Xenopus tropicalis: one gene and its partners. Each later gene encodes a partner of the first gene's protein in a complex. Links are inferred from orthologs where the notes say so. Each region holds a gene or a part of one and is shown in the gene's direction. Other genes may lie near its edges.

The links.
Region 2: apool (region 1) and micos13 share a complex: the UniProt entries of both Homo sapiens proteins name them as parts of the mitochondrial contact site and cristae organizing system (MICOS) complex. The link is inferred for Xenopus tropicalis from reciprocal best matches to the Homo sapiens genes APOOL and MICOS13.
Region 3: apool (region 1) and chchd6 share a complex: the UniProt entries of both Homo sapiens proteins name them as parts of the mitochondrial contact site and cristae organizing system (MICOS) complex. The link is inferred for Xenopus tropicalis from reciprocal best matches to the Homo sapiens genes APOOL and CHCHD6.
Region 4: apool (region 1) and immt share a complex: the UniProt entries of both Homo sapiens proteins name them as parts of the mitochondrial contact site and cristae organizing system (MICOS) complex. The link is inferred for Xenopus tropicalis from reciprocal best matches to the Homo sapiens genes APOOL and IMMT.

Annotation. Positions count from the first base shown.
Region 1 is NC_030684.2:63,236,988-63,241,241, reverse strand, and holds the start of apool (MICOS complex subunit MIC27), read left to right. Parts: upstream 1-1,453; 5' UTR 1,454-1,524; coding exon 1,525-1,536; exon of another isoform or gene 1,537-1,576; intron 1,577-2,751; coding exon 2,752-2,856; intron 2,857-3,648; coding exon 3,649-3,768; intron 3,769-3,900; exon of another isoform or gene 3,901-4,020; coding exon of another isoform or gene 4,021-4,101; intron 4,102-4,254. UniProt on the Homo sapiens protein: Component of the MICOS complex, a large protein complex of the mitochondrial inner membrane that plays crucial roles in the maintenance of crista junctions, inner membrane architecture, and formation of contact sites to the outer membrane.
Region 2 is NC_030677.2:114,330,574-114,334,827, reverse strand, and holds the start of micos13 (MICOS complex subunit MIC13), read left to right. Parts: upstream 1-1,447; 5' UTR 1,448-1,530; coding exon 1,531-1,559; intron 1,560-1,754; coding exon 1,755-1,911; intron 1,912-4,254. UniProt on the Homo sapiens protein: Component of the MICOS complex, a large protein complex of the mitochondrial inner membrane that plays crucial roles in the maintenance of crista junctions, inner membrane architecture, and formation of contact sites to the outer membrane.
Region 3 is NC_030680.2:134,698,650-134,702,745, reverse strand, and holds the start of chchd6 (MICOS complex subunit mic25), read left to right. Parts: upstream 1-1,289; 5' UTR 1,290-1,364; coding exon 1,365-1,448; intron 1,449-4,096. UniProt on the Homo sapiens protein: Component of the MICOS complex, a large protein complex of the mitochondrial inner membrane that plays crucial roles in the maintenance of crista junctions, inner membrane architecture, and formation of contact sites to the outer membrane.
Region 4 is NC_030677.2:17,822,752-17,827,020, reverse strand, and holds the start of immt (MICOS complex subunit MIC60), read left to right. Parts: upstream 1-1,462; 5' UTR 1,463-1,590; coding exon 1,591-1,635; intron 1,636-4,269. UniProt on the Homo sapiens protein: Component of the MICOS complex, a large protein complex of the mitochondrial inner membrane that plays crucial roles in the maintenance of crista junctions, inner membrane architecture, and formation of contact sites to the outer membrane.

The DNA of each region.
Region 1 (4,254 bases):
CTCGAGGGGAACATGTTGCTCCCCAACCCCTTGGATGTTGTTCTCAGTGCCCCCAAACCAGGTAGTTATTTTTGAATTCCTGACTTGGGGGCAAGTTTTGGTTGAATAAAAACAAGATTTCCTACCAAATAAAGCCCCTGTAAGCTGATAGGGTGCATAGAGGCCCCTAATAGCCAATCACAGCCCTTATTTGGCTCCTCCATGAACTTTTATGGTGCTTGTGTTGCTCTCCAAGTCTTTTTACATTTGACTGTGGCTCACGAGTAAGAAAGGTTGGGGACCCCTGCTATAGATCCTCTGGCTTCTCTGTCCCAGTTTGAAATGGAGAGTGGGTGTGTCCTAACGGTCCCTGCCAGAAGCATGGTAGGAGGGGGAGAGCCAATCACAACCCTGCACTCACACAAGCAATGACAGACTTCAGTTCCCTATCAGGTCAGCCTAGCTGCTGATTGGTTCCTATCCTACAGTGCAGGGTACGGAGGGCCGCTGGCTCCCCAGCTCATCCAGAGAATTCAGCCAGCAGGAAGTGGAACAGATGGGAGGGCTAGTGAGGTTTTGGTGGAATTTCTCAATAAATCAGTCTGAACCTTTTTTTTTAAGCACAATCCTTCTATATCTGGAGGAGTATAATTCACAGGTACAATCTTAATTCATTCTCCTTTAATAAGTGTAGAGATAAAATGACCACATCACTTGAAAATTCAGGGTCACATCTAATAAATTCATATTGCAGGGCAGCAATGATTGCATTTGAAATAAACTGCAATGCAATTCAGCCCCGTTAGCTGCATTGTTTTAGATACATCCCTCAAATCCAGCAGCCCTGAACACCCGCAGCCGATACTGAGTTCAGGAGGCGGCCCACTGACTGACAGCAGTTTCCAAAGTTTAAACAGCCCCTAAATAATTACCCTCAAAAGATAAAAACACGGGAGTCACAGCCCCATACAGCGCAAGTTTCCCGGAAAACTCCCATCGTACGTTCTTCCCAGCACACACAGTTATAGTTACCCCACTACGCTGAACCCAGTTTCCCAGAACACACAGTTATAGTTACCCCACTACGCTGAACCCAGTTTCCCAGAACACACAGTTATAGTTACCCCACTACGCTGAACCCAGTTTCCCAGCACACACAGTTATAGTTACCCCACTACGCTGAACCCAGTTTCCCAGCACACACAGTTATAGTTACCCCACTACGCTGAACCCAGTTTCCCAGCACACACAGTTATAGTTACCCCACTACGCTGAACCCAGTTTCCCAGCACACACAGTTATAGTTACCCCACTACGCTGAACCCAGTTTCCCAGCACACAGTTATAGTTACCCCACTACGCTGAACCCAGTTCAGCACACACAGTTATTATAGTTATTCCACTACGCTGAACTCAGTTTGCACTGGCGGACTGATATGTGTAGGTCACGTGATGTATTCGAGCTTGGCCGAAATGCGCTGTTCGAGAAAGGAAGAGGTTTGAACTCACCACTGCACCGTAGTTGCCCGCTAGGAGGGGGCGGACATGGTGGCCAAGGTGAGTGTTCCTCCTCCTTTACAGTCTTATGTCTTTCTGAGTAAACGTATCCAGCGTGCATTGGCGTTGGTGTGATTAAGCGATCTGCCACTTTCCCTGAGCATCTGTCACATTATACTTTGTACATTGAATCCCTCTCTGTACTCCCACTGTCCTTCCAAATGTTCTTGTACCTGTCATATTCTTCATCTTCTCTCCCCACAAATCTCTACCTGGCCCATGCCAGCTCGCATGTATATATTTAGCCAATCAATATCCTCTCACCCTGAAAGTGTTTGTTGGCTAGCCTTGCAGCACTTTCCTAGCTGTGGATCTGAATTTTAATAATGCAGCTTGCGGTGGGCTGAAGGCTGGTGTGCAACACTCTAAGGGACAGCTCCCCCCATGTTTTCTGTATATCTTTATATGTATATAGCAATTGCATATGTTTAGATCCTACCCTCTGCACCAGTGACAACTAGATGTTTCTGGGCCCCAAATATTGGTAGCCTTACATTCTACAAGAATATATTGAAATTGCTCATTAATTAGAGTATTACTAGGCCTCCTGCGTTCCTGGGGTAACTCCCAAAATAACCGCTGTGCTGTAGTTACATCCCTGTTCTGGACCCCAAGACCCAATAACATATATTTACATTAGGTTGTGTTTTATATGCAGTTTAAATCTGAAATGAGTATCAAATCACATTTGAGATTAAATGTAGTGTGCTGTGGTAAAACTATTGAAGCAATCAAAAAAAGCAAATGGCACTCAGGACTACAAAACAAGGGTAAAACCCTATTAAAAATTTATTGCGGAGGTGCAACGTTTCGGGGCAATGTGACCCCTTTATCAAGCATGATAAATTATCAATGCTTGATAAAGGGGTCACATTGCCCCGAAACGTTGCACCTCCGCAATAAATTTTTAATAGGGTTTTACCCTTGTTTTGTAGTCCTGAGTGCCATTTGCTTTTTTTGATTGCTTCAATATTTTTGGAGGGTGCCGATCCCTCCAGCAGTAGGCACCGGATAAAGGACTCTTTGGAGAGGTAGGGTGTGCGAATAGGTCTCTGTGTTTCTGTGGTAAAACTATGCAATGGAAAAGGGCACAACCTTCGGGGTAGTTGTTACATAACATGGCAGTTGTTACATAACTTGCCCCTCTCAGGAATGTCTCTGTGTAAAAAGTTTGTTTTTATTAAATGCTTTTATTGAATGCTTTCTCTCCTGCAGATATTCAAGTTGGCAGCAGTGCCTGCTGGCCTAGTTTTCACCTCTTATGGCCTTTATGCAGTTTCAGACCGGGAGCCTAAGGGAAATCTCCTGAAACCTATTCAGGTAATAATCCCTACCTGTTTGAAAGGACTGAATTCAAACATGGTCGCTAAGTAGTTAGCTCTTCAAAACATACAGGACCATTAACTGGCTCCAGATAAAACTGACCCAGTTGGTGCAGATTGTAGCATATTCTCATGTCAGCACTTGAAGTCATAGGCTCTTCTGATTGTCAGTGTTTAATGGAAATTATACCCTCCTTTTTAAAAAGAGCTCATTCAGTTGAGCTGAACTTCCCACAGTAAATATAAATGTATTATTCTTTTTAACAGACATACCTGATTCCACAAAGTGAATTGAAGTTCACAAAGTGATGCAACTCCTCCCTCACTTTGTGGATCCTGGGACTTGAAGTCCCTCTACTTTACATAGTGGTTGGTTTAGATTCTTCGCAAAGCAGAGGGGCTTCAGGTCCCAAAATCCATCACTTCACAATGGAATACAGTTAGGAATGGGTTGGATCACTCTGTGAGTCTAAGGGGGAGGGAATCCAACCCCTGCAGAAAAGGCTGCATTTATATTTATTTTTGAAAGTTCAGATAGTGTCTATGCACTTTTCTTCCTAACCCTAACTGCATGAGCTGATGCCAAAGGAGGTATATGTTCCCTTTAAGCTTCAAAACTACCCATAACCCTGCTGAACAGGATAAGAGATACATGTTAAGTGATGATTTTGAAATACAGAATGAGAGTTAATAAATGTGTTCACCAATCAGTACCATAATTGAGCATTTATACATATATAGGCATTGTTTTAGACCTTGAAAATGCAAACAAAATATCTCTTATTTATAGCTATCTGTTTATTCCGTTCCTGCACAAAAATCTAAATATATCGAAGAACACCCTGGCCGTCTCCAGTCTGGATTGTCTTCAGTGAGGGAAACTATTTGGCCTTATGTGGTATGGGGCAAGGTAAGTTCTCCCATCTCTACTTCATCCTGTTCTTTAATATAGACCTCCTACTTATATTTGTTTTTATATTTTTGCCCCAAACAGATAAGTTTTTACACACTTCTGACTTGAATTCATATTAAGAGTTTACCATTTCAAGAAGATGCTTTATTAAAAGGTTGAAAGATGGTACTGATAAGCTGTACAACTTCTTGCCTATTTTTAGTTTTGTTTAAAAGTTTCAAGCCATGTGCACAGCAACTCCTTCACAATTTATAAAACACTGCCATTTAAAGTCCATAGGAGTAAATGACATAGTCCATTATCATTTCTGCTGTTTGCAGGGTTCCAGCCCTGTAAATAAAGAATAAAGTATCCGTTTTGATATATCTACACAAAGTCTATCAAACACACGAGCATGAGTTCCAAAGAAAAATGCAAACTCACAGTACATAAAAACAGATATAAATTATAATCTTGGTTAGGACCATGTGGATAAGGGGAATC
Region 2 (4,254 bases), on another chromosome or scaffold:
TAGTTTTTTCATTTAATAACATTAAGACCAAATATCATTTTCCGGGCTGATAAAATACAGGCCAGGTGGCCTGGCAGTTTAGTAACTGACCAAGTTGTCAGGTTCCCTATTCTTAAAAAAGGAAAGGTACCACATATTCTGTGAGTTTGGTCCCCACTAGCTAGAAGAGTTGGTTTGTTAAAGGGCCTATGGTTGAGGTAAAACTCAGTAGGTAAAGCACTAGAAGGTTTTGTAGTAGTTTGCTTTAGGAGTGAAAGCCAGGATCAGGGTAGTTAGTAGAGTAGTCAGAGACTCTAACAAAGAAACCAAGGAAGGTTAGTACCCTGCAAAGTCACCTGCCAGTATAGGGACTCAAGCGCTAGGGTCAGGAATAGGAGATTTCAAGGGACTACTGTAAGCATCCACTAGTGCTGGGGACTACCTCTGGGGTGTTGTAAACATTACGCTTGTGATTAGAAAAGAATACCATCCAAAGAATTAAAGTATTTGAGCATTTATGAGACAACTGATGTTTGCACCATCTTATCCTCCAATACCAATAACCAATGCCAATAACAAATCATCACATTGGGCGTATTAAAAGGATTAAATGGGTATGGCTAATTTTATGCTGCCACCTTTCTGGTTTCTACCTGCTTTTTACCAGGACAGCCCAGTTTTCAAAAGGGCTGTCTGGGTCAAACCTGCATGGCCAGTTTTCCAAACAAGAAAAATAAGCAGGATTCTCCTACACTGATGCAGAACTTTTCCAGATTGCTGTAGCAATGTGCCAAATGATACCCACCCCACCCTGTCTGGCTTTCAGAATGGGAAAAGGTGGCATCCATATTTGTACAGTAGTGCTACCGTATTTGGTTTCTTGATTCTTGAGCTGGTGTTGATTTTCTAAACCAGATTATTTGGTTGGTCAGAAACCAACATCAGCAATGGTATAGGGGGTCATTGGTCAATCCAAACAGGACTGGGCTGTACTCTGCTGTGGTGTCTTTTCTTCTGCCCTCTTGTTTGCTCTCCCATTTTAGCTTTTTACTTTGGGATTTGGTCGAATCCCAGTCTGACACATTGCATACAAAATGGGAAGTATTCTAGTGTACAGCTAGTTGTACTAAATGCCAAAATTTAACTGGTGATCAAAATTTTATTTCTAGGTTTTCTTTATCCTGTGGCACCTTATACAATGTCAATACACAACTGCTTAACCAAAAACCATATTATCACTACGCTTTATGTATGCTAAAAAATGTAAACTTTGAATAGTAGTTCTTTTGTTCATATGTTTTATATTTATGTGAACAGCTATAGTTAAAATTGTATCATATATAGCAACAATACAGGCTATGGAACAATGTCACCATTTATATAGTTAACGAGGGTCATTCAAACTAAACGCTTGTTATCTCAAGCAAGCGTTTAGAAAAAACCCATATATTTTCTCTACACTACAATTACCGAGATGCTTTGCGAACTGTCCGTCTCATGTGATCGGAAGTAGAGAGGCTGGATGCGCGGCGTGTCCTTGGAGGGGGAAAAATGGCTTCCGCAGCATTGAGGATACTCAAGTGAGTTTGTGTCAAGCGCTGCTGCTTTTAACTTACTGACAGAAAATGTCCGTATTCAAGAATTCTTGCTGGGCTGTATTGTCGGATATAGTTAGCTTCAAGCTTTACGAATACCACGCCCTAAGGCTTTCTGCTTCATATGGAGAATGAGTCTGTGCGAAATAAATGGTTTTAGCAAATTCCTACTCATTTTAGGTTTGCCACCAAAGCAGGCCTGGCTGGGGGAGCTGTGTATGTGGCGTATGACCAGGGGCTGCTGGGCAGTGGCACCCAAGGAGAGGAGGTGCTGAAGAAGACCACAGCTGCCATACCGCCTGCCATTCAAGAATGGGCTAATTACTTCGGCTGGCAGGTAAACTAATTAAAGAGGTGTAAGTGTGTGTGTCTATATATCCATATCATATATATAATAGAAAGAGTGCCGCACTCACAGGGACTTGATACAAAAGAAAGTGTTTTTATTGAAAAAATTCCAACATTTCGAGCACAACCAGTGCTCTTCCTCAGGTCCACAAGTCCCTGTGTGTGCGGCACTCTTTCTATTATATTTTTGTTTTTGACCTGCACCAAAGGCATTTGGACTTGTATAGGGTGTGCTCCTCCCTGTGTACCATATCACACACACACACACATATATATATATATATATATATATATATATATATATATATATATATATATATATATATATATTTTTCCTTATTGGATGCAAAACAATCCTATTGGGTTTATTTAATGTTTTATTGATTTTTTTAGTAGACTTAAGGTATGGAGATCCAAATTACGGAAAGACCCCTTATCTGGAATACCCTTGATCCCAAGCATTCTGGATAATGGTTCCTATACCTGTATAAGGAACAGCGTAACTTATTTTGGCACAATCCCTCCTGTACAGGTTAGTACAGTGCTATACAGCCACAGTTCCATCAGTACATTACAGAGCATGTGTAAATGTTTTTATAGCATGTTTTAATTAAACTGCCTGAGGTGATGTGGCTGCTCTAAATTTAAGCAATGTAGATTATGCATTGCTCGCGTTAAACAGTCAAACATGGAGGTTTACTACCTCTTTAAGCATTTTAGACCAATGTAGATTATGTTTGTAGCATGCACAAGGCCTTAAACTAGTACATTATTGTATACTTTGTAGTGCCAACATATTCTAAAGCTCTTTACTGGGACTGAATTATACAGTATATAAAATGATAACAATAACATGTAAGAATGAAGAGAGGTCCCTATTCACTAGAGCTTACAATAAGGAAATGCATTGACTAAAGGTCCCCATACACAGTAAGATCCGCTTGCTTGGCAAGATCGCCAAGCGAGCAGATCTTCCCCCGATATCCCCACCTACGGGTGGGCGATATTGGGGAGCTTGAACGACCGGATTATGTAGGCGGCAATGGGGCAGTCGGTTCGGGGACCGCATCAACGAGCCGATGCGGTCCCCGATCCGACTGGATTTTCTAACCTGCCCGATCGATATCTGTCCAATTTCAGGCCAGATATCGGTCGGCCAGCCCGCTTGTTTCTGCCCCTACATGGGCCCTTGTATGGGGGCCTTAAGGCTAAATGCTTGCTTGGGCAATGTAATATGAAATGTATCTTAAATAAGCTTTTGCAAGTTTTCTTATTGCCCTGTGGATCAACCAGTTTCCCCAAAGACATGCACCTTCATAGAAAGCCTTCATTTGTGAACAGTTAAACATATGATGGAGTAGTGCACTTTGATTTTAAAACAGGCAAAATCCTATTTAAATGTATGTACCACTGTATGTAATTCTTTGTGACAGTGACATACACACAGAGAAATAATGTATTCTTTGTTTTTCTCAATGTCTGTGTGTATTACCCATGGACAATTGTTAAATAGCATTTTTAAGTATATTTGCAGCATGGGAGAGGTCTTGGAGGTGTTACATACGGTTGAAAAAAAGACCAGAGTTCAACCCTTCCAAGTAAACCCAGCACACAAACCTATACTGACCTATCTATGCACTCACATACATAAACTATATATACAGAAATTAATACTAACTGTAGATATTAGTGTAGCCCACCCTAGGGTATGGCTTGGTGTACTGTAGTTGTGACTGTGGTGACACCCCAAAGATTCCCAGTAAATACCAACACAAACAGGAAGTAAACCCAGATTTATTACACAGGAACTGGGCTGAAAATGAGTTAGAAAAATTAAATGCAGATAAATGCAGAAAGTATGAACAGGCAGAAATAGCAATAACAGTGCAATGCAATGTAAACTGCACTAGCAGTTAAGTTCTAACAACAAAGTTTGGGAGCTCCCCTAATGTCCTATAAGCCGGCAGCGTTGGGGCCCTTAAACAACAATTTACATCCAGGATGCTTGTACTTTGTTATTATAGCTTCAGAGGAAACCAGCTTGGCTACATTAGTATCACAATAGCCTTGGATATTCTGCTTGTTCAAGAACTCATCCAAGCCCCTCCATCCAGGCATTAACAGAATCTGCGATTGCAACATCACTAGGAAGGGCATTCCCCAACCTCACTGCCCTCACCATGAAAAACCACCTACGCTGCTTCAAATGGAAGCTCCGTTCCTCTAATCTAAAGGGGTGACCTCTGGTGCGTTGATTGTTTTTATGGGAAAAAAGAACATCCCCCAACTGCCTATATTCCCCTCTAATGTATTTATACAGAGTAATCATGTC
Region 3 (4,096 bases), on another chromosome or scaffold:
ATTGGCGTTGAAATAATCATGACACACCATATTTTGAGTACACAAATCTTTTTATTCTTATTCATGCAAATGATTTTATTTTTATTTTTACTTTGATGTAAATAATGTCCATATATGTTTGCACAAAAGTAAAGGGATCTGATGGTTTACACTGTATTGGATACGTCACGTTTGCACGTCACGATGTAGTTTCCCGCCACACTGTGTATTTAAGTTCTGTTTGGTTTGCTTACGTGTAACTTTGAGAAAGGCTACTGCTGTAGCCGAAACGTCAGTTTTTTGCTGTTCACCCAAATAAAATTAATATTTTTTCTATAAGTCCTGTGTGATGCGATCCATTTTCACCTATTATATATATATATATATATATATATATATATTTGTCTGTTGCAGGATGATGCTAGCTTACTTGCCCCCCCTTGGAAAATTTTCTGCGGACGCCCATGATTGAATCTATAAATGTTTTAATTTATTAGAAAGATTATTGTTTGGGCTTTACAAGGCTAAAAACCAGACAGATGAGACCAGAACAGGCCTAAGAAAAACTGAACTGTTCAGGTCAAAACTGGACAGGAGACGACCAGGGCTGTATTTATGTCTGGTGCTACCCTAGGCAAGGGACCTAAATACCACTATCACTTCCCCTGTCCCTCACCACCCCAAGCTCTGTCACCAGATTTCCTATGGAGGGCATATTTTTTTTTTTTTTTTTAAATAAAACCTATATATAGGCAACCCAAGGGCCACCCCCCCAAAACCTGCCACCCAAGCACAGGTACTCAGTTGCTTAAATATATATAATATATATATATATATATATATATATATATATATATATATATATATAACCTAACTTGCCAGGATTTGCTTTTTGTGAGAGGGTGCCTAAACAGTTATTCCACCCATTACTTGTAGTATATATATATATATGCCTATTTATATCTGAGCAATCTTAAATTAAATTTAAAAAAAAAAAAATATATATATATATATTTTTTTTTTATTTAATTTAACATTGCTCAGATATAAATAGGCATGTTACACAGCTAGCTAATGCTATTTTAATGAACACATTCGCAACAAATAACACAGTAACAGAGAGCAATAAACAAACTCATAAAGTAGGCTGGCTGGCAATAACTTCACCACAGTGCACCGCGCCCTCACAGTTCTGCCAGAACTACAACTTCCAGAAGACCGAAAGAGAACAGCGCCGCTCTTGATTGGTGGAAGCAACCTAAAGCGCTGCGATTGGCTATTGTGTTTTGTTCTCTGCCAATGAGCGCCGAGTGGTTGGCACATGCGCACAGGTTACTAGTCAGTCTCAGGGCAGCTGCCTGGAAGTGGTTGCCGTGGTAATCATCATGGGGGGCAGTGAGAGCACCGGGAGGAAGGTGTCCTTCGGGATGGATGAGGAGGAAAGGGTGCGAGTGCTGCGAGGAGTCAGGGTGAGAAGAGGGGCTTATCCGTATTATCGCAGTGCATGTGGTGGGGCTGCATCATTGTGCTTCTTGCGACCACCAGACTCAGTACCCTCAGGGGATGCTGGGAAATATCTTGTGCGTGTCAATGGATGTGCGTCCTTATGGCATGGCATGACAGCCCCTGTGCTCTGTGTGTAGCACAAACAGCTTTGCAGGTTGCTCATACTAAGTTTATAGACAAACTTCGCCTCTCTGATATTTGCAGAACGACAACTTCCCACATTCTGCGATAGTGAATCAAAGGTCGCCTGTTCCACTGCGATTAATGGATCTCAAAATAGTGGAGTGGAGTTATGTGGTTAATATATGGGGCATGTGGGACTGGCCAGTTGTGTTTATAGGGTGCAGCAGTTCTATCTACACAATTCTGCAGTCAGGGGAATTCAAATGAATGGGTTTAATGGGAATATTATAGTACTTACCTTAACACCTTGTTTGAAGCTGGGATTGTAGAAATGGAGCTGGGCCCCTGGTCATTAACAGATACCTAAGGGCCCAATTTAACACCTGTCACTCCCCATCTGTTCCTGAACAGCAACTTCTAGAACCCTCCCTGATAATGTAGCTACAAGGCAGTATGCTGGGTATTCCTGATATAATATATATATATATATAATGTTCCTCTCTGTCCTAACATTGGTCCTGGAGCTTACCGTACTTGGGAATCCTGTTGTTTAAATTCATAGTTCATACATCTGATGGTACATGGGGTATATTCTCTGCTTTTTCTCATCCAGTTGTCAAGTGCCCAAATGTGCTGCTTCCTTGTTAATTTGAAAGAGAAACATGTGACAGTGACAGTGCTATTATTCTGGGGAGGCAGAAGTGGTGGTGCGGGTCAATTGTCCACCAACTGAAAAGCCCTGTTAGTAAATAAAGCATGTGTCCCATTGTCCAAGGCTGATATCAAGCCCTATATTGCAGCCCTTGGGCAATTTTGTGTATATTGAAGATTGAGTGCTTTTTAACCCAAAAAGCTTATTGAACTTGTGCTTTGCAGGCTTTCAGCCAATCAGCTCTCTTTTAGTGTCTGAGTGTCACTGAGCATTTCCTGCTTAGTCAGCTAACTCTAGGGTCACTGACTCTAGTTGGGAGCCTTGTATTAGCAGTCTAAAACTGCAAATATCTCAGAAACCACAAGAAATAAAAAAAACATTCCCAGAGTAGCAATGTGGGGATGTTACCTGTTTTAATTGCCTTCTGTGGACTCCAGCTCTGAAAAACTTGCCTTGTCCTTGTCTTTGCAAATACAAGAAGACATTGCAAACCTTATCTGATGCAGAATGGGAATACATTTTTGTGTGTGAGGTTTTTATTACATGTGAAAATGATATATGAATATTATGTAGCTTTTAACATTGTTTTTCCTCTTCTTCCCATACTTAAAACATTAACAGTAACTGAGAAATTAGATTACTAAAAAGAACAAACATTGATTGAATTTATTTTCAAATAGCGTATGTATATACATGGAAGTTTACTATAACTAGCTTCATTGTAGCACTCAGAATGCAATAAATGAATAGAGCCAAGAAACACCTAGGGGCCCATTTAAGGACATTCATATTTTTTTTTGTTTTCCCTATTTGTGGTTTTTAGAGTTAAGACTAAATTGCATGTAATTAAATTTCATATAATTAGTAAAACATGAATTTTACTAATTACATGAAGTTTGTGATTTATTAAGTGAAAAAAAAAACAAAAAAAAAGGACAAAACGACATTAAAAATCTTTCAGGTCATGTAGAAGTCAATGGGATCTGTCCCAGGACAATTGTAACAATCTTTATTTAATTCTTGGTTTTAGTTTTCATGTTTTTCATGATTTTGTTTTGTGTTTTTATTTGTTCCTGCTTTTTATACTCAGATATTTTAAGTAATGACCAGACATTGGTCGCCCCCCCCCCCCATCCTGTGTGCTCATGTGCGACTTTGGCATACTGCCCCTACATTTGTGCTGCCCTAGGCCTGGGCCTGGTAACTTGGGCACACTGGGCCCCTCCTTTGAGGATTCCTTCCTCCATCGCCCCCCTCCTAGACCACTTGCACCTCACCTCCTGGCCCACACCCTTTAAGAGGGCGCCCCATGACCGTGGGGTCTGCTCTATAGGTAGCTATGCCTTCGGTTCTTATGCTGGAATTTAGTGTTTGCCTTTTTTTATTACATGGTCTTTAGTAAATGTTCTTATAAGATAGTAGAGGCTTTCTCTTTGCACGCCATTGTTGTTCAGTGCTTTCCTGATTGTGCACTGGATTTTTTTTTTTTTAAATGGCCTTAAGGGTGGATAGTTTGGTGAGGTTTCCAAATGAGCAGATCTTTCCTCCAGTATGCCCATAAGGATAGGAATAGGAGCCATCAGAGCAAGGCTATGGCCCCCCAATCCAATGCAAAAATCAAACCATTATGTCTTTGACTCATTTGTTTAACTGGGTTCTCATGATCTAGTTTTAAGACTTGTATGAAAAACAGATCGCATTTTAGGTCATATTTATGCAGAAATATTGAAAATACAAAAGAATTCACAAACTTTCAAGCTCCACTGAATGTCATATTAATAAGATATTGCCAGGTTTCAGTTTTCTTACAGGAATCTGTAAAAGCACAAGCTTTTG
Region 4 (4,269 bases), on another chromosome or scaffold:
GGGCCGCTTTCGCGCATGCGCACAGGAGGGCGCGCTTTCGCGCATGCGCACTGGGGGCGCTTTCGCGCATGCGCACGGGTGGGGAGGGGACGACCGACAGGGGTGGCCTCGGGGCGCCCAAAACAGAAATCCGGCCCTGCCCGGTACAAGTTTCACTAAGCTGTTTACCTGCTACCCCCTACACCTCTTTCACTGCTGAGCTCTCTTTAGCTGTCTCCTTCTGATAACCTCCCTACCCAGAGTTATCCTGAACCTTTAGGCCAACATTTCCTTAACCCCAGTCTTCCTTACTGGTACAGGACAAAACCCTGATGGTGGTCAGTGTATCATCTATAATACTACCTGCAGGGTAATTAGCTTAACCATGTTAGTTTGCTACAACTCCCTGCATTCATTAATATCTAAAATACATTTTGCTTTCTATTAAAAGTATTGCTGAAAGGATATTGCCTTATACTTCTCACTGTAATGTATGCCTTATACATACACTGTAATGCTTGTGCAACAATGAGTGTCATGACATGCTGTGCTACTGTGTATGGGGGCACTGTGTATGGGGGGCACCTGTGTATGGGGGGGCAAAACTGGTACATAGTTATAACTCACATATAACTCACTGCCTTCTCTCTATATTTGTATTTATATGTAGGAGTTGCTATAATGTTTCCCTTAGGCAGTACAGTATGAGAGTATAGCACATTTGCGTCTGATCCCGCCATTTTAACTATATAAAAGGAGTATTTTTTTAATGGGGTGTGGTAATTGGGGCGTGGTCACAAAAGAGGGTGTGGTCAAAAAAATTGCCGCGCTGCGCGCACCAAATCTTTTTGTCCCTCTTTTCATTTTTCAAATGTTGGGAGGTATGCATGGGACATACAGAGTAACATATAAAGCAATCAATAACCGATACAAGAGGTGAAGAGGGCCCTGCCCAAAAGAGCTTACACTCTACAAGGAGACATACAGAGTAACATATAAAGCAATCAATAACCGGTACAAGAGGTGAAGAGAGCCCTGCCCAAAAGAGCTTACACTCTACACAAAGTTATTACAGAAACAGCTGTGACTTGTGAAACTATGCAAAGGATAGTTCTCTAGGTGTATCAGCTGCTTCTGCTACATTGCTGTGAGTCAGAACCCGCGGTGCACAGACTGTAACCAGGCAGGCACTGCTTTCAGCCATCACAGAGCTGCACAGAGAGTGTAAAGTTTATTTTAACCACATTTTATTGCGCAAAAGCCAGTTTCATGGTGAAAGTCCCCTTTATTAATACGTAGTGCGAAAAGTCATGTGGTACAAACTCTATAACACTGCGATAAACCACAACACACGATATCCCTGTTAGGAACTACAAGTACCAGCATGCCCCAGCCATGAGACCCGTATTGGATACGCAAATCCCTATCTTGTTCTCAGAAGTGTTATTAATAAAGCTGTTGAATTAAAAAAAAAATCAAGCTGTCATGCCATAGTGGGCGTACCCCGGCGAATGACGTAGGCGGAGCTAGAGGTGCTACACGGACCGCGCCTCCATTCATGCCGTACTGAGAGCGCTCCCGGAGCTTGCCCTCCCCATCACACCGGAGAACATGCTGCGGGTGTGCAGGAAGGCCCAGGCGGCGGTGCTCGCCAAGGTGAGTGGATAGCGCGAAAGAGTACACAGTGTTGCAGTGAGGGAGCTTCTAGTTGGGAGAATGGGCGGGGATGGATTCTGACAGGATATCGCCTAAAGGCCGGGAAACAGCAGTACTGAGCCTTACGAAGTAAGGGACCCCGGCTTCCAAGGCTGGGAGCCGTCAGCGGCGCCTAGGACTTCCTTTCACTCCAGCCAATTACAGGCAACCGCTTTAACAAGCTGCAGGCTGACCGGCCAATCAGATTCCAATGTCCTTGGCACTTTAGCCAATTACCCCTTGGTTAAATATATGACGCTGCTCGGGCGGGGCTAGCGTTAGATTGACGTCTGTTAGACCTATAACGTGGTTAGTTGTTTTGACGGACGTTCTGTGAAGCCAATGAGCGATGTATATTTTGGCAGGTAGAATGGAAAGCTATAGTGGCGAGGGACTGTGAGGCGGCATGGGGCTAGGTCACCGGGGCACACGGCCTGTATACGGCCTAAAGTTTATTTTAGCCTCAGTGGCTAATTGTACCCTCCTGCGAGAGCGCCCCTGTCTGCATAAACCCCACTTGTCTTTTGCCTGTAGGTGTGACCTTGCTTGGTGTCCCATCCCCAGGGCCTAGCTCCTATCTGGTGCCAGGGACAGTACAGAGAGTGGCAAAGAGCTTAGTTAAAGTTATTGGACCACAACTCCCAGCATCCCTTGACAGCCTTTTGCGACAGTTAAGGTTTGCTTTTTGATTGGGAGAAAATATCATCTTTTCATTCTTCCATATAAATTGTATAAAAGCGCTGCTTCACCTTCACCATTGTGTCTTTTTATTACTTATCTTTCTATGTAGGCCCTCTTCTATTCATATTCCCATCTACCTTTTAAACCACTGGCTGGTTGCTAGGTTAAATCGGACCCTAGCAACCATACAGCTGCTAAAATGTAAAATTGGGGAGCTGTTGAACACAAAGAAAAATATATCAAAACCTGCAAGTAATTAAAAATGAAGACCAATTGCAAACTGTTGCAGAATAGCACTCTCTGCATCATACTAAAAGTTCATTTCAATGTAAACTGCCCCTTTATATGTACATTGTGTTGTATGAAGCAGATCTAATGATGTATAGAGCGTTGGCACTCTGCCTTCTACTTTCTAATCTGTATCTGACCCCAGCCCAGGGTAGGAATCCTTATACAGGTGTACTAGGGACCTGGGGAAGGTATATTTCCATTATTTGGATCTCCATACTTAATAATTAAAAGCTGAAATAAACCCAGTAGGATTGTTTTGCCACTCACATGGATCTGTGCTGCTTAGTTACCATCTCATACAAGGTACTGTTCTAATATTTCAGAGAAATAGGAAATCGGAATTATTTGCTTATAATAAAGTCTGCAGAATATTAAAGATGAACTCTGGCTTCTGCGCCAAAATGTGTTACAGAGCCCCACACAGCACAGAAACCCCCCAAATCCCTATCACTGTAATCTGTTCCTTCAAAAAGTAGGAATAAATACCATTTTATATGCTGAAATCCAGCTGCAAAACAGTTCTTCTCTTTCTGCATCATTTGAAATCCTGGCAGGGGAGAAGGGACTAAAACATTGATGTTACAAATTGTAACAACTTCTCCACAGCTTACTGACAGCATGCAGGAACCCACAAATTCTCCGACATGGGGGCAATATCAACAGGAGCCAGTTAACTTTCCCCTATATTGCTGGAGGATGCACAGCAATGGCACAGAGGAACGTTACTCAGATGCCAAGCACACAGTGCCCAATCTGCACGTAATGCTCAGCAATGTGGGGCAGGAATGCTACTTAACGTGCCACCCTGCTCCCATTGATAGCCGTGCCCTTGGATGTTGATATGAATAGGTCACTATGCTATCTTTTTTTACCCACAATGCAGTTTTTATCCCCCCCCCCCAGCAAAATGGCAGGTACCCTCTAAGGCTTATGGCACAAGGGGAGATTTTCTGCCCATGGCTAAATCTGGGCTGCCGCGGGCAAGGAAATAAGCACTGTATATGCTTTCCCACTGTCAACTTACTTTACTGCTGGTTGCAAAGCATTTTGGGGAGATTTGTCACCCACAGTAACCCAGATTTAACCAAGGGTGACAAATCTCCCCTCAGGCCCAAAATGGCAGTCTATGGATTGCTGTAAGGTGCCACAGACAGTCACTATTTATTGGGCTGCTGGGGGGCTGTTTGTGCCTCTGGGTACTGGGAATGCCAGGGGGGCTGTAAGGTGCCACAGACAGTCACTATTTATTGGGCTGGGGGGGCTGTTTGTGCCTCTGGGTACTGGGAATGCCAGGGGGGCTGTAAGGTGCCACAGACAGTCACTATTTATTGGGCTGGGGGGGCTGTTTGTGCCTCTGGGTACTGGGAATGCCAGGGGGGCTGTAAGGTGCCACAGACAGTCACTATTTATTGGGCTGCTGGGGGGCTGTTTGTGCCTCTGGGTACTGGGAATGCCAGGGGGGCTGTAAGGTGCCACAGACAGTCACTATTTATTGGGCTGGGGGGCTGTTTGTGCCTCTGGGTACTGGGAATGCCAGAGGGGCTGCTGTAAGATGCCACAGACAGTCACTATTTATTGGGCTGGGGGGGCTGTTTGGGCCTCTGTGTACTGGGAATGCCAGAG